7 linked regions of the Sus scrofa genome follow. The protein of the gene in region 1 interacts with the protein of each later gene in a biochemical or structural test. Links are inferred from orthologs where the notes say so. Each region holds a gene or a part of one and is shown in the gene's direction. Other genes may lie near its edges. The genes, in order: ATM, CHEK2, ABL1, CHEK1, SMC1A, EIF4EBP1 and RBBP8.

What was found.
Region 2: of the proteins of ATM (region 1) and CHEK2, one has a biochemical effect on the other in vitro, tested with the Homo sapiens proteins (6 studies listed by BioGRID, with this or other methods). The link is inferred for Sus scrofa from reciprocal best matches to the Homo sapiens genes ATM and CHEK2.
Region 3: of the proteins of ATM (region 1) and ABL1, one has a biochemical effect on the other in vitro, tested with the Homo sapiens proteins (3 studies listed by BioGRID and IntAct, with this or other methods). The link is inferred for Sus scrofa from reciprocal best matches to the Homo sapiens genes ATM and ABL1.
Region 4: of the proteins of ATM (region 1) and CHEK1, one has a biochemical effect on the other in vitro, tested with the Homo sapiens proteins (2 studies listed by BioGRID, with this or other methods). The link is inferred for Sus scrofa from reciprocal best matches to the Homo sapiens genes ATM and CHEK1.
Region 5: the proteins of ATM (region 1) and SMC1A form a complex in vitro, tested with the Homo sapiens proteins (2 studies listed by BioGRID and IntAct, with this or other methods). The link is inferred for Sus scrofa from reciprocal best matches to the Homo sapiens genes ATM and SMC1A.
Region 6: of the proteins of ATM (region 1) and EIF4EBP1, one has a biochemical effect on the other in vitro, tested with the Homo sapiens proteins (2 studies listed by BioGRID, with this or other methods). The link is inferred for Sus scrofa from reciprocal best matches to the Homo sapiens genes ATM and EIF4EBP1.
Region 7: of the proteins of ATM (region 1) and RBBP8, one has a biochemical effect on the other in vitro, tested with the Homo sapiens proteins (4 studies listed by BioGRID, with this or other methods). The link is inferred for Sus scrofa from reciprocal best matches to the Homo sapiens genes ATM and RBBP8.

What each region holds. Positions count from the first base shown.
Region 1 is NC_010451.4:36,619,581-36,623,563, forward strand, and holds the start of ATM (serine-protein kinase ATM), read left to right. Parts: upstream 1-1,183; 5' UTR 1,184-1,325; intron 1,326-1,584; 5' UTR 1,585-2,304; intron 2,305-3,983. Other genes in the region: protein NPAT, read right to left, coding at 695-731.
Region 2 is NC_010456.5:45,950,351-45,953,850, reverse strand, and holds part of CHEK2 (serine/threonine-protein kinase Chk2), read left to right. Parts: intron 1-1,272; coding exon 1,273-1,381; intron 1,382-3,500. UniProt on the Homo sapiens protein: Serine/threonine-protein kinase which is required for checkpoint-mediated cell cycle arrest, activation of DNA repair and apoptosis in response to the presence of DNA double-strand breaks.
Region 3 is NC_010443.5:270,897,641-270,901,140, forward strand, and holds part of ABL1 (tyrosine-protein kinase ABL1), read left to right. Parts: intron 1-104; coding exon 105-257; intron 258-2,047; coding exon 2,048-2,137; intron 2,138-2,463; coding exon 2,464-2,628; intron 2,629-3,500. UniProt on the Homo sapiens protein: Non-receptor tyrosine-protein kinase that plays a role in many key processes linked to cell growth and survival such as cytoskeleton remodeling in response to extracellular stimuli, cell motility and adhesion, receptor endocytosis, autophagy, DNA damage response and apoptosis.
Region 4 is NC_010451.4:52,758,047-52,762,023, forward strand, and holds the start of CHEK1 (serine/threonine-protein kinase Chk1), read left to right. Parts: upstream 1-1,177; 5' UTR 1,178-1,300; intron 1,301-2,058; 5' UTR 2,059-2,078; coding exon 2,079-2,143; intron 2,144-3,977. UniProt on the Homo sapiens protein: Serine/threonine-protein kinase which is required for checkpoint-mediated cell cycle arrest and activation of DNA repair in response to the presence of DNA damage or unreplicated DNA.
Region 5 is NC_010461.5:46,192,149-46,195,648, reverse strand, and holds part of SMC1A (structural maintenance of chromosomes protein 1A), read left to right. Parts: intron 1-1,169; coding exon 1,170-1,373; intron 1,374-1,466; coding exon 1,467-1,705; intron 1,706-2,482; coding exon 2,483-2,741; intron 2,742-2,825; coding exon 2,826-2,966; intron 2,967-3,500. UniProt on the Homo sapiens protein: Involved in chromosome cohesion during cell cycle and in DNA repair. Central component of cohesin complex. The cohesin complex is required for the cohesion of sister chromatids after DNA replication.
Region 6 is NC_010457.5:48,422,501-48,426,373, reverse strand, and holds the end of EIF4EBP1 (eukaryotic translation initiation factor 4E-binding protein 1), read left to right. Parts: intron 1-520; coding exon 521-706; intron 707-3,099; coding exon 3,100-3,131; 3' UTR 3,132-3,373; downstream 3,374-3,873. UniProt on the Homo sapiens protein: Repressor of translation initiation that regulates EIF4E activity by preventing its assembly into the eIF4F complex: hypophosphorylated form competes with EIF4G1/EIF4G3 and strongly binds to EIF4E, leading to repress translation.
Region 7 is NC_010448.4:108,014,469-108,017,968, forward strand, and holds part of RBBP8 (DNA endonuclease RBBP8), read left to right. Parts: intron 1-3,070; coding exon 3,071-3,224; intron 3,225-3,500. UniProt on the Homo sapiens protein: Endonuclease that cooperates with the MRE11-RAD50-NBN (MRN) complex in DNA-end resection, the first step of double-strand break (DSB) repair through the homologous recombination (HR) pathway.

The sequences.
Region 1 (3,983 bases):
ATACAATGTACCCTGACAACTGGCCGTGGAACTAAACTGTTTTCAAAATGAGGAAAAACTAACTAGGACTAGAAATGTTCAAATGGAAGGCATTTCCCCTGTGAAAATTCTTGTTAATTAAAAGAACCCGAGCTGCTGCCGTCAGAAAGTATGCAATTAGCGTTTCAAACCTCTACACTGGACGACTTCTTGCGGAGGGACGGGATAAGGAAGGAAGATCACCCATTCGTCCCAAATTCGCAGTTCTAAGGGCGAGTTACGAGAAGGGCGTCAGGAATGTCTTTCTACAAAGCTGGGGGGAGGGGGCTGGGGGAAGTCCCTCTCTTTCCTACTTTGGTCCCAATTCTGACAAAGTGCAGTGTGCCAAGGTGAAGCCGTCGGTGCATCACGTAGCAGCTTCCCGGCAGGGTCCTAATTAAGTGTAGGCCTGACTTTCCCTCCAATCCCGGCTTCAGGTGTTCCACTCCGGGCTTCCTTCAGCCTCTCCTCATCACGCAACCTCGAAGGAGAGGAGTGTCCACACACAAAGCCCGAACCGCCCGAGCCCCCGGCTGAAGAACCACCGCCAGCCTGAACTCGGAGACGGGGAGGCAAAGCCCCAGAGCTTCCCTCCCTGGGGAAACCTTTGGCCCCGAGGGTCCTTCCGTCCAGCTCAGCCCGGTCCGGTCTCCCTCTCTACCGCGTCAACGCTTACCCAATACCAGCCGGGCTACGTCCGAGGGTAGCAGCATGATCCAAGCCGCAGGAGTACCCGCAGTGAGAGACGAGACTCAGGTAAAAGCCAACAGCGACGGCTCCTGCGCCGCATCTCCCGGTCCCGGTGGCGGCACTGAACCCCGCTGCAATTTGTCCCGCCTCTTTTGCTCCACGCCAGCCAATCGCTTCCGCGGGAGAAAGAAAGGCGCCGAAATGAAACCCGCCTCCGTTCTCCCTGGCACTGACGTCATTTCCGTGCTCACGTTTGGCGGGTGGGGTCAAGGGGGCGAGGAGGCGGGGCGCGAGCGTTGGAGACCAAGCCGCAGGGAGAGCGTGGCTGCAGGGTCGCATGCCATTGGCAGACAGTGCGCAGGCGCGTTCCCTTCCGAGCCCGGTGTTTTGGGAGAGTGTTTGGTGTCCGGCGCGCGTGGGCGGACCGTACCCGAACGCTCCGCACCTCTACCGCTTCCGCCCGGGACGCACGCTGCGTGGCCACGCTGAGTTTGGTCGGAAGCGGGATCAGTGCGTGGACAGGTGGCTCGGGCTGCTGCTGGGAGTGGAGCGGGGATTTGGTCTGCGGCTACGCCGCCACCAGGGATTCCACTTGGTTGTCCAGTCCAGCCGTCTTGGTGCGTAAGCCGTGTAGTGGCGTCTGCGTTGGGGAATTAAGATGCCTCCGGGCCGCTCTGTCCCAGCCCCCATATGCGCCCCTTTACTCCTCTCCCCACCTCATCTTGACGGGACTCTGGTACTCATTGCTTTCTCCAGCTCTCTTTTCGTGCCTCTGGTGGACTTAGCCTTGAACCTTCCTGTGCGTCCCCTGCCTCTGTGCCCAGAAATTAACTAGATGGCTTAACTAATCATCTTTTTCTCCCCTGTCATAATTAGTAGTTTAAGTCAACGAGTGATTCGTTGAGGCTTAAACTGAAGTTTCGTGGTTAAGAGCTTGGGCTCTGGAATCACACTCCCGGAGTTGGGGTTCTGTCAGCTGGCTGTGTGATCTCGCTGTACCATCTATCTCGTCATCATCCTATCCTGTGTCACCACTCAAGAGTGTTTGCTGTTTTTTACCAGGTACAGAGAAGTAAAAAGACTGTTACAATTCAGAGTGATAATGTGATAGAAGAACATTGTGATGGAAGAGGAGTGAATGAAGTTCTGTGGAAACGGCCTGGGAGAATCAGTTTCAGTTTGCAGTGAGATTTCAGTGTTAAACTGCCCTGGAGGGAGGTGGGAGCCTTACAGACAGAAGGGTAAATGCATATGAAGGCATAACGTGTGGAAGGTTCCTGAAGCTCTAGGGAGAGCCTCACAGAGAACATTACCCGATATTCTGTGGTAATCTATGTTGGAAAAGAAATGGAAAGAGAATGGATGTGTGTACATGTATAACTGAATCACTTTGCAGTACAGCAGAAGTTACCACAACATGTGAATCAACTGTCCTTCCATAAAACTTTAAAAAATGGAAAAAAAGGAGAAGAGAGAGGTCCTGCATGTAATGAAGTACATTTGGGCATTTTCAACATGTTGAACATATGCTCTTACTGGGATATGGTCTTAACTGGGAGAAAATTGAGAAGCAAGGAGACAAGGATATTCTTTCAGGTGTGGGTGGAAAAAGAACCATTAAAAGAGATGCGAAACAGAAAAGAAGGGAATAATGATAATTGCTGATATTTATTGAGCATTTGCTATGTCCCAGGCAGTGTGTTAAACATGTACATCAATCTTTAAAGTAACTTTGAAGTTCTAGTTCAATTCTAATGTGGTTTTTCATTTTATCATTGAGAAAACTGAGGTTTAGAGAGATTAGCTAGTTGGAGTTCCTGTCGTGGCACAGCGGAAATGAATCAGGCTAGGAACCATGGAGTTGTGGATTTGATCCCTGGCCTTGCTCAGTGAGTTAAGGATCCAGCATTGCTGTGGGCTGTGGTGTAGGTTGCAGATGCAGCTTGGATCCTGCATTGCTGTGGCTCTGGCCTAGGCTGGCAGCAATAGCTCCTATTAGACCCCTAGCCTGGGAACCTCCATATGCCGTGGATGTGGCCCTAAAAAGACAAAAAAAAAAAAAAAAGAGAGAGAGATTAGCTAACTGCCCAAGTTACATAGTTTGTAAGTGCAGGACCAGGGTATGAACTAGTGCAGTCTGACTACAAAGCCCACACTCTTAGCATTAGAAAAAAATGGCATGGTGGTCTTTTGTGCTGCAGCGGGTTAAGGATCTGGCATTGTCACTGCAGTGGCTGTATTGCCACTGTGGCTTAGGTTTGATCTCTGGCCTGGGAACTTCCACATGCCACAGGCACGGCTCCCCAAAAAAAGATGGCGTGCTAAGGGCAGAATTAGATCCAGAAAGATATGGTATAAGCATCATTGTCAAATTCTGCAAAGGGATCATTTTGGTTGAGATCTGAAAAGGAACAATGGATTTGCCAATTCAGAGGGTGTTACTTAGGAAATATGTGTTATACCACTTGCATCTTGGAAGTGGAGCCTAGATGTATTAATTGGATTAATGTATTAATTGAATTCAATTTTACCTGATGATACTCTTACTCTAGCTAACTACTGTCTTACTCTAGCTAACTACTGTCTTGTTCCTTTAGTTGTCTTTCATTTCCTCCAACATTGCAGTTTTCCATTTTAGAGCTCGCTGGCTGTGTTTCTCCTCTAAGATGTTGGTTCTCTCGCTCTTTCTGTGCCTGGCACCAGTTTATTCAGATCTTTTAACCCCCTGTAATATGTGTTCCTTAATAGGTTATAAAAAATGATCCTCTACATTGGTATTTTATTTCATTTGTCTTTTCAGGGCCTCATCTGTGGCATATGGAAGTTCCCAGACTAGGGGTTGAATCAGAGCTGCAGCTGCTGGCCTACACCACAGCCACAGCAATGGGGCATCCAAGTCGTGTCTGTGACCCACTCCACAGTTCATGGCAATGCTGAATTATTAACCCACTGATCAATGCCAGAGATCGAACCCACATCCTCATGGATACTGGTTGGGTTCATTACCACTAAGTCACAGTGGGAACTTTGCTATCCATTGATATTATATATTTTCTTCCTATGAGACATATATCACAATTTGGCATTAGGCATTGATTTATAAGTGCACTTTTTATTGTCACTCTCTCCCACTAATTATAACTCCAGGAGAGTAGGGTTTGTGTCTATTTAGTTCATTATATGTCTAGCTACCTCTAACACAGTACTTGGAACACCGTAGTTTCCCAGTAAAAGTCGTTGTGTGTATCAGTTAATGAACATCTCTTGTTTATATA
Region 2 (3,500 bases), on another chromosome or scaffold:
ATGAAGAGAGTGAAATACAACCCATAAAATGAAAGAAAATATTTGCAAATGAGTTATCTGGTTAGGATCTAGTATCCAGAATAGATAGAACTCACCAACAAGAAGATTAACAACCTAATTTAAAAATGGACAAAGGATTTAAATAGAGGTTTCTCCAAAGAAATACAAATGACCAAAAACCATGTAAGATGCTCAGTGTCATTAGTCATTAGGGGAGTGCAGATCAAAACCACAGTGAGATGCCATTTCACACCCACTAGGGTGGCTGTAATAAAAAAAAAAACAGAAAATGGCAAGTGTTTGTGAGGATGCAGAAACATTGGAAACCTCATACCCTGCTGTTGTGAATGTAAAATGGTACAGCCACTGTGGGAAATAGTTTGATGTTTTCTCAAAAAGTTAAACAGAATTACCATATGACCCAGCAGTTCCCCTTTAGGTATATACCCCCAAAATTGGAAACAGATGTTCAACAAAAGCTTGTGCATGAATATTCACTACAGCTCTTTTCACAGTAGTGAAAAGGTGGAAACAACCTAAGTGTCCATCTACCAAAGAATGGATAAACAAAATGTGATATATACATAAAATTGGCTGTTATCTAGCTATAAAAAGGAATGAAATGCTGGTACGTGCTGCAGCATGGATGAACCCTCAAAACATTCTAAGTGAAAGTAGTCAGGAGTTCCCTGGTGGCTCAGGTTCCTGGTGTGGCAATCTGGGGTGACTTAAATCTGTATCACTCAGCTCAAATAAGTCTGTACCACTCAGCCCAAAAAAGTAGAATTTCGAGCTGACTCAGTGTTGGATGGTCCCCATTCACTTATTCCCTTGATATTTTATCTTGGTGAGGTTCTACTATGTTCTTTGAAAATAGTGGAAGGGTTGTATATGGACTGTGTTTTCGTTTGTTTGTTTTTGTCTTTCTGTCTTTCTTAGGGCCGCATTGGTGGCATATGGAGGTTCCCAGACTAGGGGTCCAATCAGAGATGTAGCTGCCGGACTACGTGAGAGCCACAGCAACACGGGATCTGAGCCTCATCTGCGACCTACACCACCTCATGGCAACACCAGATCCTTAATGCACCGAGTGAGGCCAGGGATCAAACCTGTGTCCTCATGGATGCTAGTCGGGTTTGTTAACCACTGAGCCAAGACAGGAACTCCTGGACTGTGTTTTAATTTAAGATAATTGAGGCCAATTCAGGAGCGGTGTGTCTCAGGATTAAAAGCATTCTAATAATCAGTCACTTTCTGCCTTTTTCCCTGTAGCGGTGCCTGTGGTGAGGTGAAACTAGCTTTTGAGAGGAAAACTTGTAAGAAAGTAGCCATAAAGATCATCAGCAAAAGGAAGTTTGCTATTGGCTCTGAGAGAGAGGCAGTAAGTACCTGTGTTTGTGGCTGTTGGGTTGGTCTTAATGCTTCTTAACTTCCCCAAATAATTTCAGACTGGTGATTTTCAGTGTTAGGAATTTGTATCGAAGAATGTTGGACATTTTTTTTTTGCTTTTTGTTTTTGTTTTTTTTGTCTTTTTAGGGTTGCACCCCGGCATATGGACCTTCCCAGGCTAGGGGTCTAATCGGAGCTACAGCTGTTGGCCAACACCACAACCACAGCAACTCCAGGTCTGAGCCATGTCTGCAACCTACACCACAGCTCATGGCAATGCCAGATCCTTAACCCACTGAGCGAGGCCAAAGATCGAACCAGCAACCTCATGGTTCCTAGTCAGATTCGTTTCTGCTGTGCCATGATGGGAACTCCCTGTCTTTTTTTTTTTTTCAGGGCCGCTCCCACAGCACAAGGAGGTTCCCAGGTTAGGGGTCGAACCATAGCTGCCAGCCTACACCACTGCCACAGCAACGCCAGATCTGAGCTGATCTTCCACTCACACGCAGTTCATGGCAATGTCAGATCCTTAACCCACTGAGCGAGGCCAGGGATCAAACCTGTGTCCTCATGGGTGCTTGTCAGATTTAATTCCCCTGAGCCATGGTGGGAACTCCCAGAACACTGAACATTTTTGAGTGTATCCAACTAATCTAAACACAGATAATTGGGTTCCAAAAATACTTGGTTGTACAGAATAATATACATAGCAGGAACTTGTTTTTGTTTTTTTTTTCCTTCCAAGTTGTTACAAGACTATTTTTACAATAAATGAAAGGAAATTAGGGGAAAAAAATCCAGCTATGTCCCTGCCACTGTAACCCCACAGCTGTTTTCAGTTTTCCCTTTCTTTCTAGTCTTTGTTCATATGAATTCATGTTTCTAGATGGTTGAGATCATGTTATACATACAATTTTGAATTTTGCTTTTCCACATAAGCACTAATGCATAAACTTTCCTCATATCTTTTTTGATGATTGGGTCTCTATTTCACCAACTTTTTCATAATTTATTCAACCATTTCTCTGGCTGATGATTTAGATCATTTAGATAATTTTGAATTCTTTGCTTTTCTTGGTAACATGACAATATATACCTGTGTGTTTATAGATTTTTTAAAAATCATGAATTATTTTAATGCTTTCTTTATATGGTAACCATTTTATTACATTTTCTTTTTTCTTTTTTTTTTTTTTGTCTTTGCCTTTTCTAGGGCCGCTCCCGCGGCACATGGAGATTCCCAGGCTAGGGGGCTAATCGGAGCTGTAGCTTACACCACACCCACAGCCACAGCAACTTGGGATCCGAGCCGTGTCTGCAACCTACACCACAGCTCATGGCAACGCCGGATCCTTAACCCACTGAGCAAGGCCGGGGATCGAACCCACAACCTCATGGTTCCTAGTCGGATTCATTAACCACTGAGCCATGACAGGAACTCCTATTACATTTTCTTTAATACACACTGTGTTGGTGAAATGGCCACTGTATTGGTATTTCAATACATGAACCAACGAAGTAATACAAAATGTGGCCTCTAATCACGTTTTCCATGGCCAGCTGTTTCTGGCTATTATACTTTAACATTCTTTAAAGATCAATTTTTTTTTTTTTCCCTAGACAATGCCATTCTTATATAGCAAGAGGAATTTCCTTTTGGTGTTCACTTCATTATAGATCTTTCCCCTGTGATTCTGAATTTGTTTCCCATGGGGGAGGGGGTGGTGGGAACTAACCTACCAAATACTTAATGACTTGGAACACAACTTTATTTCTTAATTTCATCTTTCAAATCCTATCGGACTCCTTAGACCTCTTTATCATCAGAGTACACCCTGACTTGGTAATGAGTTTAACGGCTTACAGGAAGAGGCAGGCTTTTAAAATTAAACATCTGGGTTTCTTCACTGAAGTCCATTTAACATAAATATGTAACTCTATATCCTCTTTGCTTGTGGAGGGTGTAGCCTGTGAGGTTGAGTAACTTGATTCATCCTTTTGGAATTGTAATGGAGAGCAACTTTGCTACCCTAAGCTTCCTCTCATTGAAAGTCTCAGTAAATATCCCAGCTTGCAGTTGAAATTGGAACCTGGGTTTGCTCTATTATTA
Region 3 (3,500 bases), on another chromosome or scaffold:
GGGCGTGGCTTCTGACGTCTGCGGCGCGGTTTCCTGCTTTCCAGTGCACGGTGGTTAAAGCTCCCACATCTTGAGCTGTCTTGCTCTTGCTCTTTGTCTTTTAGCGTTTGGAGTCTTGCTTTGGGAAATTGCCACCTACGGCATGTCACCTTACCCAGGAATTGACCTGTCCCAGGTGTATGAGCTGCTAGAGAAAGACTACCGCATGGAGCGCCCGGAAGGCTGCCCGGAGAAGGTCTACGAACTCATGCGAGCATGTGAGCCTCCCTTTGGGAAGGGAAGCGTGGGACTTCCCCAGGTCGGGGGGCGTTGAGGAGACCCGGGCAGGGCGAGGCCAAAGCGCTCGCTTGCTTCCTCTCCTTCCCTCCTTCAGAAACAACTCGTGTGACAGTTTGGCGCATAGCATTGTACCTTTTCCAGTGTGTCTGTGCACCTTTAGTTTTACATAGTATTTATATGTGAGGGTCTTTTGTTTGTTCTTAATGCAAAAGTGACGTGGATGGATACCAAACCTGGGTTTCTTATTAATAAATATAAATTGCTGGTATAGTAGGTAAATATTCCAGGTGATTTTCATCCACTCGGTTTTGGTGGTGGTTTAATTTATTTTAGGGCCTCAAGTGAGGCCCACGGAAATTCCCAGGTTAGGGGTCAAGTCAGAGCTACAGCTGCCAGCCTGCACCTCAGCCACACAATGCCAGATCCGAGCTGCATCTACAACCTATACCACAGCTCACAGCAGTGCCGGCTCCTTAACCCACTGAGCGGGGTCAGGGATTGAACCCATATCCTCATGGATACCAGTCAGGTTCATTTCCACTGAGCCACAATGTGAACTCCTGTCCACTCAGTTTTTAATTTATTAATATGTATATATATGTGTGTATGTATATATAAAAATTCATTCCTTCAACTTTTTTTTTTTTTGGTCTTTTTAGGGCCACACCTCTGGCACATGGAGGTTCCCAAGCTGGGGGTTTGAATCTGAGCTGTAGCTTCCGGCCTACACCACAGCCACAGCAACATGGGATCCTAGCCGTGTCTGCGACCTACACCACAGCTCATGGCAATGCCAGATCCTTAACCCACTGAGCGGGGTCAGGGATTGAACCCATATCCTCATGGATACCAGTCGGGTTCATTTCCATGGAGCCACAATGGGGACTCCTGTCCACTCGGCTTTTGATGTATTTATGTGTACGTATATGTGTGTATGTATGATAAAAACTCACTTCTTCAGCCTTTTTGCACTTGGCAGTGTAGCGGGCGTCTCTTTCCACGCCCATGATTTCCCGTGCTCTTCCCCTTCTCCTTCACCCACTCTTATCTTCACGTAGCTGCCCAGCACCTATTGCGTAATTTATTCATTCATCCCATCCTCCTTTGATGGACATGTGTTTGCTGTATACATTTGTTTGTTTTTTGCTCTTACGGACAAGGCAGGAACCAGTTCCCTCGTAGATACGTATGCCTCTGCGCATTCTGGTGTCTTGCAGAAGTTGAACCTGTAGTTCAGGGGGCTCTGTGCATTTTAAAATGTTGATAGGTGTTACCAAATTGTTTTGTAAAAAAGGTTATATTAGTTTATACTCCCAACAGAAGTCTGTAAGGGGGACGCTACAGCCTCGCCTACACTGGGCTGCGTCGGTCCTTAATCTCCTTTTCGTCTTGTTTTAAGGAGCATGTCTTTACTGATGAGGAATTCAGACTTTGGTGACTGCGAGGAAAGGTTAGGACAGGAAGCAAGCTATTTGGTTTAGTGATTCTCTGCACTTGCTAGAGGCGGGTTGGGAAAAACATCTTTGTAAATGTACTTGTTGCTGTCCTGTGTTATAATCCGCATTCCCGCCCGTACCCAACGTCGTCTCAGATTCCCGGGGTCTGTAATAGGACTCAGTGGCAGTCGTCACTTTAACTTGTCACAGCACAAGATGGCCAGCGGGACCGGAATGCTTCTTCAGTTTCTCGACTTTGCCTTGAGGATTGCTAGTCTTCCTCTTGTTCGCAAAGCCTCACGGGTGGTCCGGCTTGGGTCTCATCTGTCTAGGTTGGCAGTGGAATCCCTCTGACCGGCCCTCCTTTGCGGAAATCCACCAAGCCTTTGAAACAATGTTCCAGGAATCCAGCATATCAGATGGTAATGTGCCCGTCCTTGGGGTGCCTGCAGTGGGGGGAGAGGGTGGGGTGGGAGGGAGGGCCGGGCGGGACTCCAGCCCGGTCCTTCAGTCCCTCCTGGTCGAGAGCACGGGCCAGCGGTCAAGCTGCTGAGTGTGGCCCTCTGTCTTTGGCAGCCAGGACTCTGAAGTCTGCTCCGGTGCTGCTTTTTCGGGATGTGTGTCTCTTCTCTGTAACTGTGTATAGATGACTACTGCTGTCTTAAAAAGAAAAGGAAAACCAGCATACCAAAAGGACATCAATACTGATGACTCCTGGTTTTGTTATTGATTTTTCGGTGGTTCTTAGAAGTGGAAAAGGAGCTGGGGAAGAAAGGCATGCGAGGGGCCGCGAGCCCTCTGCTGCAGGCCCCGGAACTGCCCACCAAGACCAGGACCGCCAGGAGAGCCGCCGAACACAAAGACGCCCCAGACGTGCCCGAGACGCCCCACTCCAAGGGCCCGGGAGAGACGGGTATGTCCCCACCCCCGCCAGAGCCCAGGGCAGCTGGCCCCGGAGCCGGGTGCCGGTGCAGGCAGATGGGAAGCAGGGAGCGGAACCTGCACAGAAGGGCAAGTGGACCCCACGTTAGTGGCCCAGCTTCAAAAAGAGGAAGATCCTTCTTCTCCCACAGTAAAGCGCTCCCTCTGCAAATCATTCAGGAGCCACTGGCTGTGGCTGTTAGTCTAGTCACACAGGCAGAGGTGCTTATGAAACATACTAAGAGCGAACACACCCTTTCATGTGTTAGTCACAGCATTGGTGGCTGCTCTTTCAGAGCAGATGCAGCAATAATAAATACTGAACCAAACAAAGAGCAGCTTGTTGCGAAAGCAGCAAAGCGAGAAGCTCCCTGGAACTGACAGAGCCAGGAGACACCTGTGGCAGAGCTGGTGTCCTCTCGTCTGAGAGGAGGCTCCTTCTGGGGCTGCTCCCTAGACCCACGGCGAGGGCGTGGGAGCCGTTCGGGAGGGTCCTAGGATGTTACCAGGAACAGCATTCGAAAGTGTGGGTCCGATGCTTCCTTTGCGCCAGGCGTGACGCTGGGTTAGGCCGCTCCGATTCAGCCCCGACAGGAAAGGAAATTGGGAGGTCTGGGTTCCCGTCAGGCCAATGAATGGACACGCCCGAGGTGGACCAGGCGCCTGGGTGGGTAGCAGCTCCTTGGGGATGCTCTGACGGACCACACCCGGGGGAAGGGGAAGGGACAGGGCAGGGCTGTGGGGTGTCTAGCCACAGCAGAGTCTGTAGACCCCCATGATGCCCAGCTTTGTCATCATGTACCTCTGTTAATGTTTTAAAGTTGAGGGAATTGGGAGTTCCCGTCGTGGCGCAGTGGTTAACGA
Region 4 (3,977 bases), about 16 Mb from region 1:
CTGCCTGAAAAGTGTATACCTTATTTTCAGGCTAAGATACCTTAATTCTATCAAGATACAAAGAAGCTGTGCAGGTCCTCCTCTTCCTTTCTTCATATTCTTTGTCTGCAGCACACAGTGCCAAAACTGAAAAAAATGATGTGGAAAACTTACTTTAACAAAAGCCTAAACTGTGATGAGCATTTTGAAGTGTCCTGGTCTTGTTTTTCTGTCCCTGACTTTGCTTCTTTAAATCAAATGTTTGCATTTTTGTATAATATATTTTACACTTACTTTAGTCTATTGCCAGTATCACAATCAATAGCTATTTATGTTCAATGCATGCATGTGGCCCAGTTTTGAGAATTGGAGAACTTAATGGAGATGATCTGCCCTGTGCCTTGAGTTCCTAGTCTAATTTACTGTCAAGGGGGAGTAACTATTTCAGTTTTTCTACATGATTTTGTACTCCAGCCAGTCCTTTTCTCAGAATTGACTTTCCCACCTAAACAGGATACTCTGCTTTTAAACTTTGCATTGTAAAATGCGCAGCCTTTTTGCTTGTACCTGCCAGTTTCTTACACATTAATGAGAGAGCGGGTAGTACTAGGCTATGCAGTTGCACTTCCTTCAAAAAGGTTGGGTTGAGGTATTGTTTTGGAGGCAGCTTAGATAAGATGGGAAAACTGGTTATCCTGACATTACCTCAAAAATACAAGAGCAGCTTTATTCATCCTGACGCCTTCCCACCCCTTGCAGCCATTCTTTGATGCTTCTCTCTCCCAACACAAAAGTTACTTTCCTTCTTCACAAGATCAGTTCTCAACAGCTGTTACTAGCTTCTCAGCTCCGGTTTTACCTGGCCCACACCTTCAAGTAAGAGGCAACCCTTACTGAGTGTGACCCTCAACACCTTGCCAGGCAAGGGTTGGGGTGCCAGGAGGTCGGGGGCGGCGGGCAGCGAGCCCTGCGGTGCTTCAATCCCTTGGAACGCGAGGCCAGCCAGCCGAGGATACACGCCTGGTCCCACTTAGCGTTTGTGCCCAGAGGTCGTTCGCACTGATGAGGTCGGCAGTTCTTAAACCTCTTCAGCCAGGATCTCCTCCGATCTTAAGGTAATATTGGCTGGCGGGCCTGAGAACGCAGCGAAGAGCGGCGCGGACCCGAGGCGCGGCCAATCTGCAGAGCCCGAGAGCCCCAGAACGCGCGCTTCCTGCTTTACGGCAAGGGAGCGCGCATTTGCGACAATGTGACGCTAGCAAGTTTTGGCGGGAAAAGTCCTGCATTTGGATTCCTGTGGTGGCGGGCAAAGGACGGCCTGGTGAGGAGGGGCGGCCGGTAGAGTGGGAAAGGCCCCTGGAGCAGGAGTTCGGGGTCTATAAGACTTAGGAGGGGCACCGCGAGAGAACGTTCTCGGCGCCGAGCCCGGGGGATCAGAGAGACTCCCGCGGAGGGCGGTATCGGAGGGTGGAGGAGTGTGATGCCAGGAGGTCCTCGTTGTACAAGGACTGGAGAGACGACTCCTCTGCTGGCTGGGTGCCCCAGAGTTTTGGGCCCCGGCCGCACGCGAGCCACCCAGCCCTTCCTTCCGCCTCTTGGGGCAGTTTGGCCCCGCCCCGGGCTCCTCCTGGCCTTGGGGACGGGGTGTGGGTAGGAATTGGGAGTGAGCCGATGGGGAGGAGGGGCTGCGGTCGTGGCAGTTATTTCCTTCACTAGTCAGCATCCCTGACTCTGACCCAAGTTCTCACCTTTCACCCCTTTTCCTGGTCCCCCACGGTAAAGCACTGGTCCTCCCACTTCCCAATGCGGATAGCACATCTCCTCTGCCGCCTGGAATGCGGGGTTTCAGCCTTGGGTTTGTGTGGGAATGGGGATTGTGAGTTACCAACGAAATGCCAGAGTTCATAATACTTGCTTGTGCTTTAACGGCTTGGATAAAAATATGGATGAGATGTTAGGGGAAACCAGGAGCTGTGATTTATCTTGAAGAATCATGGCAAGAGGCGGAGCTCAGTGGCTTAAGAGATGATTGAAGTTTATCCTCATATGCCGTCTTTTCTGGGTTCCTGCCTTTTACAGCCGTGGGACTTAGTGGAGACATGGCAGTGCCCTTTGTGGAAGACTGGGACTTGGTGCAAACCCTGGGAGAAGGTGCCTATGGAGAGTGAGTTTGAGTCCTTAAACCCTGCCTTCACACTCGCTTTAGTTTCCTGTCGGTTGTTGTCTCCTTTGAGTACATGTTAGGTTTTTTGGAATATGTTTATTCTAACACAGTGGCACCTTAGAGAACAGATCTTTGCATTTGAAACCCAAAACTTTGGGGAACTGAAGCTACACAATCTTCTGTAAGGATTAATTATTTTTCTTCCTTATTTTTAAAAAGCATTTTTTGCCCAAAGAGCCAAAAGAGATTTCTGAAATCAGTTTCCTGCCACCATTCCTTCCTGGTGTTTAAGCTGGTGGTTAAATGAGCAAATGAACAGACTTGAGTCAGACTGCCTGGTTTCCAATCCTCACTTTGTCACATGCTCACCATTGTTTTGTGTTCTTAGGCAAGCTTTTTTTTTTTTTTTTTTTTTGTCTTTTTCCAGGGCTGCACCTGCAGTGTATGGAAGTTCCCAGGCTAGGGGTCTAATCGGAGCTGTAGCTGCCTGCCTACACCACAGCCACAGCAACACAGGATCCTTAACCCACTGAGCAAGGCCAGGGATTGAACTCGAAACGTCATGGTTCCTAGTCGGATTTGTTAACCACTGAGCCACAACGGGAACTCCTAGGCAAGCTTCTTAATGTCCTTGTTTGCCTCTGTTTCCTCAGCTATAATGTGGCAATAGTAGTACATATCCAGTAGGTATTTACAGCGATTACCGCAGATATATATAGAATGGGATTGATAAATGCTAGATAATATATTAAAATTAAATGAATAGAGCAAAAATGAAATCTTGCCATTAAGTTACAACATGAATGGACCTAAAGGGTATTATGCTAACTTTAAATAAGTCAGACAGAGAAAAACAAATATTGTATGATTTCACCTAATATATGGAACTTAAAAACAAAACAAATGAACAAACATAAAAGAGAAACAGTTTCGGAGAACAAACAGGTAGTTGCCAGAGGGGAAGGGGGGCTGGGAAAGAAATACGTGAGATACAAACTTCCAGTTGCAAAATAAATGTCTCCAGGATGAATTGCACAGTGTGGGCAATATAATCAATAACTATATAATACTTTTGTAAGCCTAATTAGACTTACCATGGAGATCATTTTGAAATGTATAGAAATACTGAATCACTATGTTGTAACAGGAACAAACATAGTGTAGATCAGTTATACTTTAAAAACAAACACACATAGAAAAATAGATCAGATTTGTGGTTACCAGAGTGGGGTGGGGGAGGGGAAATTGAAGACAGTCAAAAGGTACAAACTTCTAATTATAAATAGGTACTGGGGATGTAATGTACAACATGATGAATGTAATTGACAGGGTGTATGTTACATATGAAAGTTAAAAGGGTGAGATAGTAAGAGTTCTTAACACAAAGAGTTGTCTATTTCATGTTTGTTTGTTTTTTCTTTTTAAGGCTGTACCTGTGGCATATGGAAGTTCCCAGGCTAGGGGTGGAATCAGAGCTGCAGCTGCTGGCCTATATACCATGGCCACAGCAATACAAGATCTGAGTGGCATTTGTGACCTACTCAACAGCTTGTGGCTTGACCACATCCTTAACCCACTGAGCAAGACCAAGGATGGAACGCACTTCTCAGGGAAACTGCATCAGGTCCTTAACCTGCTAAGCCATGATGGGAACTCCCTTTTTTCTATTTCTTCCATTTTGTGTCTATATGAGTTGATGGATGTTCACTAAACTTATTGTGATAGTCATTTCATTGCTTTATGTCAACCATATCTCAGTAAAGCTAGAAGGAAAACAAATTAAATGAATAGAGCATGTGCATATGTGATGTGGCCTAGAACTGCTATTTTCTCA
Region 5 (3,500 bases), on another chromosome or scaffold:
GGCCAGGGATCGAAAGTGCATCCTCACGGATGCTAGTCAGATTCATTACTGCTGAGCCACAGCGGGAACTCCAGGTGGGCATTTTTAACAGTTATTGGCTATCTGCTTTCTGTCCTAGCCCCACTGGGCCTGCATCATGGTCCCTCCTCTGAACTAATGTTAACAGCTTCTTCACTGGGCTTCCCGACTCCACCTGCCCCCTTCTGGTTTGTTTTATGAGGGCAAAAATATGTTTCTTTCGCTCCTCTCTTTAAAACATTTCAGTGATTTCTCATTGCCTTTTGATGGCACTTCTCAAATTCAAGTCTCCACATCAGCATCAACTGGGGACATATTAGAAATCCACATTCTCACGTTAGAAATCCCTGTTCTCGGGCATCTACCAGAATAGGTAGGTGCCTGAGAATAGATCGGATTAGGGTAGGTAGGAACTCAGAAGAGGGAGAGCTTAAAAGAAGTGGTGGCTTTGCCAAGCAAGAGGAAGTGATGGGAAGCCACTCCTGACCTATAGGAGCAGAGACTATGGAGTGGGGCCCAGCAATTTGTGTTTTCCCAAGCCCTCCAGGTTATTAAGATGCACAGTAAAGTTTGAGAACCATTGCTATAGCATGAGATCCAACCCCTGTCATTCATGAAATACCACTCTTTGGTTCTTGCTCATCTCATTAACCTCATCTGCCAGTACTCTTCCCCTCTAGCCCTGCACTCCAGCCTGATTAAACCCTTTGTAGTTCCCCAAACTTGCTTTCTTTGGCTGTAGGCCTTTGCAATATTAATTTTCCTCTATTTTAAATAACCTCATTTCTCTTATTTTCTTGGTTAATGTCTTCCCCATCTTCCAAACTCAGCCTAGATGTCACCTTTGGGAAGCCTTCCCGTGGAGACATAGAGATACCCCTACCAGTCTCTTATCCTCAAGCTTCATTTAGCCCTTTTTCTGTGCTACTGCTGTTATTGCACATAACACACGGAGTTGTCTCTGCTTCTGGCTCTTCTGTACCCTGTCTGCCTCAAAAGGCAGGGAGTGTGTCCTCAAAGTTCAGTGGTGAAATGTGGCACCTAATGTGGGAAGTGATCAGTGAACTTTTTCTGAATGATTGAATGGGAGTGGGTAGGGGGAACTGGACTGGCTGGAGTCTAAATGGGGAGAGTGTTTTGACCTTTACTAGGGTGCTGTGGAATCTATTGCCATGAAGAACCCCAAAGAGAGGACAGCTCTTTTCGAAGAGATCAGTCGCTCTGGGGAGCTGGCCCAGGAATATGACAAGCGAAAGAAGGAGATGGTAAAAGCTGAAGAGGACACGCAGTTTAACTACCATCGAAAAAAAAATATTGCAGCTGAACGCAAGGAGGCTAAACAGGAAAAAGAAGAGGTAGGTGGCCAGGCTGCCTATGGGCTCTGAGAGGCCAGAGTGAAGCCGGTGCCTTACTGATGCACCCCTGCCTCCATGCCTCTATTTGCACAGGCTGACCGCTACCAGCGCCTGAAGGATGAGGTGGTACGAGCTCAGGTACAGTTGCAACTTTTCAAACTTTATCATAATGAAGTGGAAATCGAGAAGCTCAACAAGGAACTGGCCTCTAAGAACAAGGAGATTGAGAAGGATAAGAAGCGGATGGACAAGGTAGAAGATGAGCTGAAGGAGAAGAAGAAGGAGCTGGGCAAAATGATGCGGGAGCAGCAGCAGATTGAGAAGGAGATCAAGTAAGTGGCAGGCCTTGGCCTGTAACTTGTGTGAAGCCAAGAGGCTCTGCTGTTTCCTAGGGCTTCTGTGAACCCAGAGCCCAGTGCCTCTACTCGTTTCTCTATCTTCCCCTTGACTTGCTTTGCCAGAATCAAGCACATTTTTTGACTTGCAGACAGAGTATTTAAATACTCAGACTCCTGACTGGCAGTCCCTTCCTAGAAGAGGGAAACCGAAACTTGAAGTTTAAAGGACAGGAATTTCAAAATGTTAGATCAGGAGTTCCCACTGTAGTACAGTGGGTTACTAGTCCAACTGCAGTGGCTTGGGTTGCTGTGGAGGCATGGGTTTGATCCCTGGCCCGGCACAATGGGTTAAAGGATCCGGCATTGCTGCAGCTGTGATGTAGATTTCAGCTGCGTCTCAGATTCAGTCCCTGGCCCAGGAACTTCCATATGCTATGGGTTTGGCCAAAAACAAAAAAGAAAAGCTTAGATCAGATGGAAGACAATGAGGTGAACACAGGGTGTTCTTGGGAGTTGTTACCAAGGGGCCTGGCCTGGCTAGGGTTGAGGCAGGGGGGTAGCTTTGCCTTTTAAATGGCTAGAATCCCAGGCTAACACCATCAGTTCCAGGGAATAGCCCTTTCTTTGAGGATCTGTGGGGCATCAGGCCCTTGTTCTTTTGGTAATTCCCTAAGGCTGGCTTGGGGTTTAGGCTTCCTTTGGATTAAAAAGCCTGGGACCCCTCCCTTCTCTCACAGTGCTAACTGGTGTTTCCCCCAACCCTGGCAAAAGGGAGAAGGACTCAGAGCTGAACCAGAAGCGGCCTCAGTACATCAAAGCCAAGGAGAATACCTCTCACAAAATCAAGAAGCTAGAAGCAGCCAAGAAGTCCCTACAGAATGCTCAAAAGCATTACAAGAAACGTAAAGGTGATATGGATGAGCTGGAAAAGGAGATGCTGTCAGTGGAGAAAGCTCGGCAGGAGTTTGAGGAACGGATGGAAGAGGAGAGTCAGAGTCAGGGCAGAGATTTGACCCTGGAGGAAAATCAGGTAAGCTCTTGGGGGTTGGGGGGACTGGAGAGATCGATGGGCTGACATGGTCATCCCCGTCCTCCTTCTTTGTCCCTCACACAGGTGAAGAAATATCACCGGTTGAAAGAAGAAGCCAGCAAGAGAGCAGCTACCCTGGCCCAGGAGCTGGAGAAGTTCAATCGAGACCAGAAGGCTGATCAGGACCGGCTGGATCTGGAAGAGCGGAAGAAAGTAGAGACAGAGGTGGGCATGCCTTAAAAGATTGGGGATGATGGTCCAGAGCAAAGGAGATAATGATGGTCTTAACAGTAATGACAGTAGCTAACATCTAGCAAGCACTTACTGTGTGCCAGGCACTGTTTTTTACATGTATTCACTCATTCCTCATTTTTATAGAGGTGAAGTAATTTACCTAAGGCCACGTTGTTATTAAGTGACAGAACTGGGATATGAACCTGGGCAGTCTAGCTCTAAAGCTCACACTTTTTGGGAGTTCCTGTTGTGGCGCTGTAGAAACGAATCCGACTAGGAACCATGAGATTGCTTAGATCCCGAGTGGCTGTGGCTATGGCGTAGGCCGGTGGCTACAGCTCCAATTCGACCCCTAGCCTGGGAACTTCCATATGCCGCGGGTGCAGCCCTGAGGGGAAAAAAAAAGGAAAAACCCACAAAAAAATAAAGCCCCCCCTTGCAAGTATACTTCACTTACTGTGTTACTGATAACAATGATAGTAAAATAATAGGAATAATAGAAAGTTATTATAGTACCCTGAGAGC
Region 6 (3,873 bases), on another chromosome or scaffold:
ACAAATCCAACTAGGAACCATGAGGTTGTAGATTCGATCCCTGGCCTTGCTCAGTGGGTTAAGGATCTGGCGTTGCCATGAGCTATTGTGTGGGTCGAATACGCAGCTCGGATCCCATGTTGCTGTGACTCTGGCGTAGGCCGGTGGCTACAGCTCCGATTAGACCCCTAGCCTGGGAACCTCCGTATGCTGTGGGAGTGGCCCAATAAAATGGCAAAAAGACAAAAAACAAAACAAAACAACAACAGAAATGTGTGGTCTCAGTTCTGGAGGCTGGAAGTCCGAGATCAAGGGGTTGGCAGGGTGGTTCCTTCTGAGGCTGTGAGGAAGAATTTGATCCAGCCTACTCCTCTCCCAACCCCCTGAGCTTCTGATGGTTTGCTTGCAATCCTTGATGTTCCTTAACCCTTGGCTTTTGTAGGAAAACCTGCCACCTGTGCTGCAGCCATACCTCAAAGAAGTAGGAAAAAGAGCAGGTGGGGACTTCGAGATGCTTAACAGTATTCCCACCCCCTTCCAGGTACCAGGATCATCTATGACCGGAAGTTCCTAATGGAGTGTCGGAACTCACCTGTGACCAAAACGCCCCCGAGGGACCTGCCCACCATTCCCGGGGTCACCAGCCCTGTGGGTGATGAGCCCCCCACAGATGCCAGCCAGAACCACCTGCGCAGTAGCCCAGACGACAAGCCGGCGGGGGCGGGCGGTGAGTGCAGGACTTGGCCAGGCTCTCCCTTGGGAAGGAACATGTGTGGTCCCATCCGCTGGGGGGAGTTCAGGGAAAACACTGGCGATCACCCCACCCTCCATGGAGCAGCCCAGAGCCCAGAGGATGGAGGTAGGGATGGAGCATAGAGTTTTCATCCCAACCAGCTTTCCCCATGAAAATGGCCCAGGAACCCAGGAAAGGCCATCATCTGGCAACTCACTAGTGGGGAGCTTGTTTGAAACAAGAGGGGACCACACAGCCACTTTGCTAACCTTTATATAGTTGTCCCTGAAGCATTTCCAGGCGACTGCAACACTTGGAACATACCCACGATGTTCCTGTGCTGGAGGTGACCTATCAAAGGCCCAGTGTCCTCGCCCTCTAGGAAATTACATGTCTGTATCAGAAAGGCTTCTAGGATGCCTTCTGCTAGGGTGTTGTCTGTAGTAGATTCTTGATGAACAGAGGAGAAACAGTGCAACCGGTTTCTTTTGTTTTTTTGTTTTTCCTTTCCTTTTTAGGGCCACACCCACAGCATATGGAAGTTCCCAGGCTAGGGGTTGAATCGGAGCTGTGGCCACTGGCCTGCGCCACAGCCACAGCAACATGGGATCTGAGCCGCATCTGCGACCTATACCACAGCTCACAGCAACGCTGGATCCTTAACCCACTGAGCGAGGCCAGAGCTCAAACCCGAATCCTCCTGGATACTAGTCAATTCTTAACCTGAGCAGCCACAAGGGGAATTCCGCAACCAGTTGTTTCTGCAGGTTTGACACAGTAGCTGGGTCCTTCCTGGTGTTTGTTCTCTCCATCCCCCACCTCCATCCTCCCAAGTCATCAGAGCAGCCACCCTGGCAGAGGTGAACGCAGTCTGTGGCATTGGGACTGGCTGGCCCCGGGCATCTAAGTGCTCCTGCTGCAGGAGGATGCAGCATAAGCACTTGCAGACAACCTGAGTCAGCGGGCAGCCTGCTGACCCTTTATCTGGAAGGCAGTGCACCAAGCCCAGACAGGAAGCAGCTGGGACCTCAGGCTGGGCTGGCCCTGCTGAGAGCAGCAGAAGCCATCTCCCCAGGGCCTGCAGGACATGATTCATATTTACCTTGGGAACCCTACCACCCAAGACAGGCTGGTTGCCTCACCCTCAGACAAGGAGAGCAGGGGGTGGAAGGGCGTGGACTCAGACACACAGGGAGCATGAGGAGGGCAACTGAAGACTGGAAGTTGAGGATGGAGGTTGTCAACACCTGACATTGCTGCATCACTCTCACCTGGTCCGTTGCCCCCACTTGTACTCCCTCTTCCCTCCCAGTTTCTAGAGCTGTTCTGTCCCACAACAAATGGAGGGTGGCCCAGCAGTGCCCCCAGGTGGACCACTCTGACCCCACAATCATGGCCTAGTGTTCCCCACAGTTGCTGGGTTGGGGTTTAGTGGAGGGGGGTGCCAGCATGATTTTCTCTTTTGCTTAACTGGATATAAGAAGCCAAGGGACCAAGAATTCCTGTTGTGGCTCAGGTTAAGAACCCAGCATAGTGTCCGTGAACTGCCCTAAAATGTGATGTGGATACATCATTGCCATGACTGTGATATTGGCTGGCAGTTGCAGCTCAGATTGGACCCCTTGCCTAGGAACTTCCCTATGCCGCAGGTGCAGCCCTAAAAAAAAAGAAAAGAAAAGCAACCCCCTGCAGCATGAATTACTTGGAAATGGTAATGGTGAGAGTTGGGTGAGGGCAGTGAGTGGCTAAATTACCCAAATAACTGCCATACCACAGGGTCAGGCTGGGTCAGGCTGTTCCACACACAGTGGGATATATGCCTGGTAGGTTAGGGTACTGTTTTCTAAACAAGAAGTTGGGACATGTGCTCAAAAGGGTTTTATGTTTAAGGAATATTTGTCTGTGAAGTTGTATATATTTCAAATCACAAGGAACCATTCACACTTATTAAAAATGATACATTTAGAGTTCCCTGGTGGCTCAGTGGGTTAAGGATCTGGCATTGTCACTGCTGTGGCTTGGGTTACTACTGTGGCACAGGTTTGATCCCTGGCCCAGGAACTTCCGCATGCCATGGACACAGCCAATGATAATAATAGTAGTAGTAATAATAATAATGCCTATATGGAATTCAGGGCTGTCACCTCTCCTGCTGGGAGATGTGGTCTTTGCTCTGCCTTTAAGACTTGAGGAAGGGAGCACAGCTGGACATGTATTTCCAGGAATTCCTGGTCCCACCCTTCCTCTGTTCTTGGCAGCCCAAACCTGGCCCCTGCTCTGCTGGTAGGGACAGAAGAATGGGAAGTAGTGCCTTTTCCTGGCCTCTAGAATGTCAGCCCTGCCCAATTCCTTTTGCTCACCTGACCCTCTGTTCCTTCTCTCCCCAGGTGAAGAGTCACAGTTTGAGATGGACATTTAAAGGACCAGCCATGGGATCGAGCAATGCCTCTGGGCCCCAGTGGCCCCTTTTGGGAGAAGGATCCCACCAGCCAGGCCTTATGAAAGTTGCCATCCTGGGCAGGCGTTGGGCGTGGGGTCGGCTGCCCCAGCCCCCTGCTTCCTCACTCAGGGCACCTGCTCCCCCTTCTTCATGAACACCAGCAGATACCTCCATGTGCCTCCACTCCTGCAGGTGCTGTCACCCCAAGAGGAGTGACCTCAGGCACACCCTGCAGCCCAGGGCCAGCTCGTGGACTCGGAGGAGCCCTTCTGAATGGTCCTCTAGCTCTTCCAGCATCCTCCTGGGGGGGGGTGTGCCCACCCCTTCCTTAGGTTGGTGTATGGAAATGCTCCCATCCCTCTCTCTTCCCAAGAAAGGAAATAAAAGCCACCTTTGCCCTAGGGCCAAGAATTGGCCCCTGTCTGAGCTCTTTTCATTCCATATGGATGGCTAACGCCAATGTCACATGCATAGTGCCCATCATGCACTTTCTATGCCTTATCTCATTTGACAGTGGCACGGATCCCATGGGGGTAAGTAGAGCAAGTGTTATCGTCACTGTACGGCTCAGAGAAGTTGGCGTCACACACGGGTTGATGACAGGTGGGGCTGGCCTGGAGCTGTGCTACTCTCCATCTCCTGTTTTTCAGTGATGGGTGATACCTCTATTCTGGGCTGTGTCTCCCCCCCACCCCCAGGTGTGCCCAGTGACTGAGTCACC
Region 7 (3,500 bases), on another chromosome or scaffold:
ATTCAGGAAATGAGATAATACTCATAATTGTTTTTTTCTAAACAACTGGTACAACCATAAGCTCTTTTTTCCCCCAAATTTTCCTTTCCAAACAAAATATGAATAGGCTCTACTTCATCCTTAGAACACAGATATTAGTTTACACAGATATTAGTTTACATTGGGTGTTCTAGACTGTATCCACTTAAGGATATTCTGATTGTCCTAAATAGTCCAGGCAGGTTCTGTGTTTTCTTGAAACATGTTGTTTTTATTTCTTCCCTTGCTGTCCTTTAGCTGTTGGATGCCTGTTTCTATCAGTGTACTTCCCCCTTTTAATTTTTTCATTAACTATGGCCAGAAAATTTGATAACAAAGCACATTGAAGTTAGGTGAGAATAGATTACAGAGCAGGTAAGCATTTGGTGAGAAATAGGCTCTCATTCTCTTAAGAGTGGGAGTGTAACTTGAGATCAGTATTTTGAAAAGCAGTTTGGTATAACAAGCAAAATCTGAATCATGAGTTTTTGTAACACAAATCAAATGTATCATGATTTCTTAACTAAGGAATATGGTCTGTTCTAAGTAAACTTCCAGATTTTAATTATAACTGAAATTGGTACAATTAGAAAAAAAAAAGCTCTTTTGCTTTTTTTAGAGACTTAATTTGCTTTCCTTCTCTCAGGAATCATTTTTGCGCTGTTACCCAATCTCTAAAAACACTATTTCATACATTTTATTTCTTTTTTTTTTTTTTTTTTGGTTTTTTAAGGTAGAGGGTAAATCTGTTCCCTGTAACTCCCTCATGACTAGGAGTGAAAGTGCCAGCCCCATGTATCTAAATTTAAATATTGCCTATATGCTTACCCTAAAATTTTTCCATTGCCTAGTCCACATGTAGAATATGCAGTACATGTGGATGTGTAATAGTCATCTCAAATTTCACATGTCTAAAAGCAAAGTTTCTACCTCCAATTCTCGAACCTTTCCTCTGAGCCTTCTATATCCATTCTTCTAGTTGTTTAAACCAGAGATTTTGTAGTTGTCCTCTTTTTTTTTTTTTTTTATGTTAAAAACATATCGGTCAGCAAATCCCATTGATTGTACTTACTTTTTTTTTTTTTTTTTGGTCTTTTTTGTCTTTTTGCCATTTCTTGGACTGCTCCTGCGGCATATAGAGGTTCCCAGGCTAGGGGTTGAATTGGAGCTGTAGCTGCCAGCCTACACCACAGCCACAGCAACGCGGGATCTGAGCTGAGTCTGCAACCTACACCACAGTTCACGGCAATGCCGGATCCTTAACTCACTGAGCAAGGCCAGGGATGGAACCCGCAACCTCATGGTTCCTAGTCAGATTTGTTAACCACTGAGCCACAACAGGAACTCCATTGATTGTACTTTCAACACAATAATAGTCTCTTTTTCCAAATGATCTTTTTGGAAGAAAAGTTAAATCATGTCATTCTTCTGTCCAAAATCCTTAAATGGCTTCCTTTCTTAGTAAGAAATGGAGTCAAAGTCCTTATGAAGGACAATAAGCTCACACTCCACTTCCTCTCTAACTTTATCTTCAGTACTCTCCCATTTGATTGCTGTGTTACAGCTACATTTAATGTTCTTTTCAAATATGTTGTAATTTGGTGGCACTGTTTCTCCAATATTGATTGGTAACCATGGTTCTCTAAAGGCATCCAATCCCAGTTCCCAGGCTAAGGTGACAAATGCTAATATTCATGGCAGTGGGAATGAAGAAAAAGATACCAGGAAAAACAAAGTTTTAGAGATATTACTCTAAAACCTTTAACCTACATAAAAGAAATTTTTCTTTCTTTTTTTTTTTGCCATTTCTTGGGCTGCTCCCTCAGCATATGGAGGTTCCCAGCCTAGGGGTCTAATGGGAGCTGTAGCCGCAGCCTACACCAGAGCCACAGCAACACGGGATCCAAGCCGCATCTGCAACCTACTCCACAGCTCATGGCAATGCCGGATCCTTAACCCACTAAAAGAAATATTTTGAAAAACTTTACTTTAAAAAAATTCTAGTCCTGAGTCTACCACTTTCACTAGGTGATAACTTTGGTAAATTTATCACTTTGATTTTCAGTTTCTCAAGTGTAAAATGGAATTAGCGGGATTATGCGATCCTGTCATCTGTTCTATTAAACTGTACTGCTTTGTTTTCTTTAGATCTAGAGCTTGCTTAAAGACCTGTATAATTTTCACATAGAAGTTTTCTCTTTGCATGAAATTCAGTTATGATCACAGTTGCAAAAAATAATATGCCTTTGATCGTGGTTGAAAAATATAGTTTAAAGGGGAAGTCATGAAGCCGACAACATTCAAGGCTAAACTTTTATTTTAAATGATTATAGTGATAGGAAAATTACTTCAAAACACATGTTATATCCAAATAACATTTGAGAAACATGCTATTCAGAGTGCAGGCCTCAGCATTTTTGTTGCTGGAATGAGAAAGATAGAGAGTTTGCACCAGTATATAAATCAGTTGTACCACTAAGCACACTGTAAAGTTCAACTGGCTTTTTTTTTTTTTTTGGCCTTTTTTTGTTTGTCTTTTTGCCATTACTTGGGCCGCTCCCACAGCATATGGAGGCTCCCAGGCTAGGGGTTGAATCGCCTTCGCCAGAGCCACAGCAATGCAGGATCCGAGCCTTGTCTGCAACCTACACCACAGCTCACAGCAACGCCGGATCCTTAACCCACTAAGCAAGGCCAGGGATCGAACCCGAAACGTCATGGTTCCTAGTCAGATTCGTTAACCACTGAGCCATGACAGGAACTCCCAGCTTTTTTTTTTTTCATTGTGAGATTTTATTGATAAAGGAAGCAGTATCCTGGTTTACATGGTGATACAAGCTCCCTTCTCATATGTGGAGCAAACATTTCACAGACCCACACCAATTATTGTCAGTAATTTCCAAATAGTAATTACAGATAGTATTAATTACTAACATTATCAGTGAGAATTCAGTTTCCATATTAGCATGCTGAATACTTTAATAGTTTTCTTAGTTTCTAGTTTATAATCAGTGACACTGCATTCATTATTACTGAGTGGCAATCTTACCAGTTTTATTATCAGTATTATGCAGATTTCCCAGCAGAAGAGAGAGAAAAGAAGTTGGCTTCTTGCTCAAGACACCGATTTCGCTACATTCCACCCAGCACACCAGAGAATTTCTGGGAAGTTGGTTTTCCTTCCACTCAGACTTGTATGGAAAGAGGTAAGAGATTATAACATTTTGAAAAAAAAAAAATTAATACTGTATATACCCAAGTCTAAACATTAAACTTTTTCTCCATGATTCTCTGTAGGTTGGGTGCCAGTTTTGTGACAAATACAATATCCTAAAGATAAAAGACTTAACCTCTTCAAATAATTTCATTGGAATCATATTGTTTATAAGCACTCCAGTGGGATTGTGTATGCATTATCTTGGTTTATCGTTCAAATTTCAGAAAGTAATTTTTTTATCCTATCAAAATGACTTTTAATAACT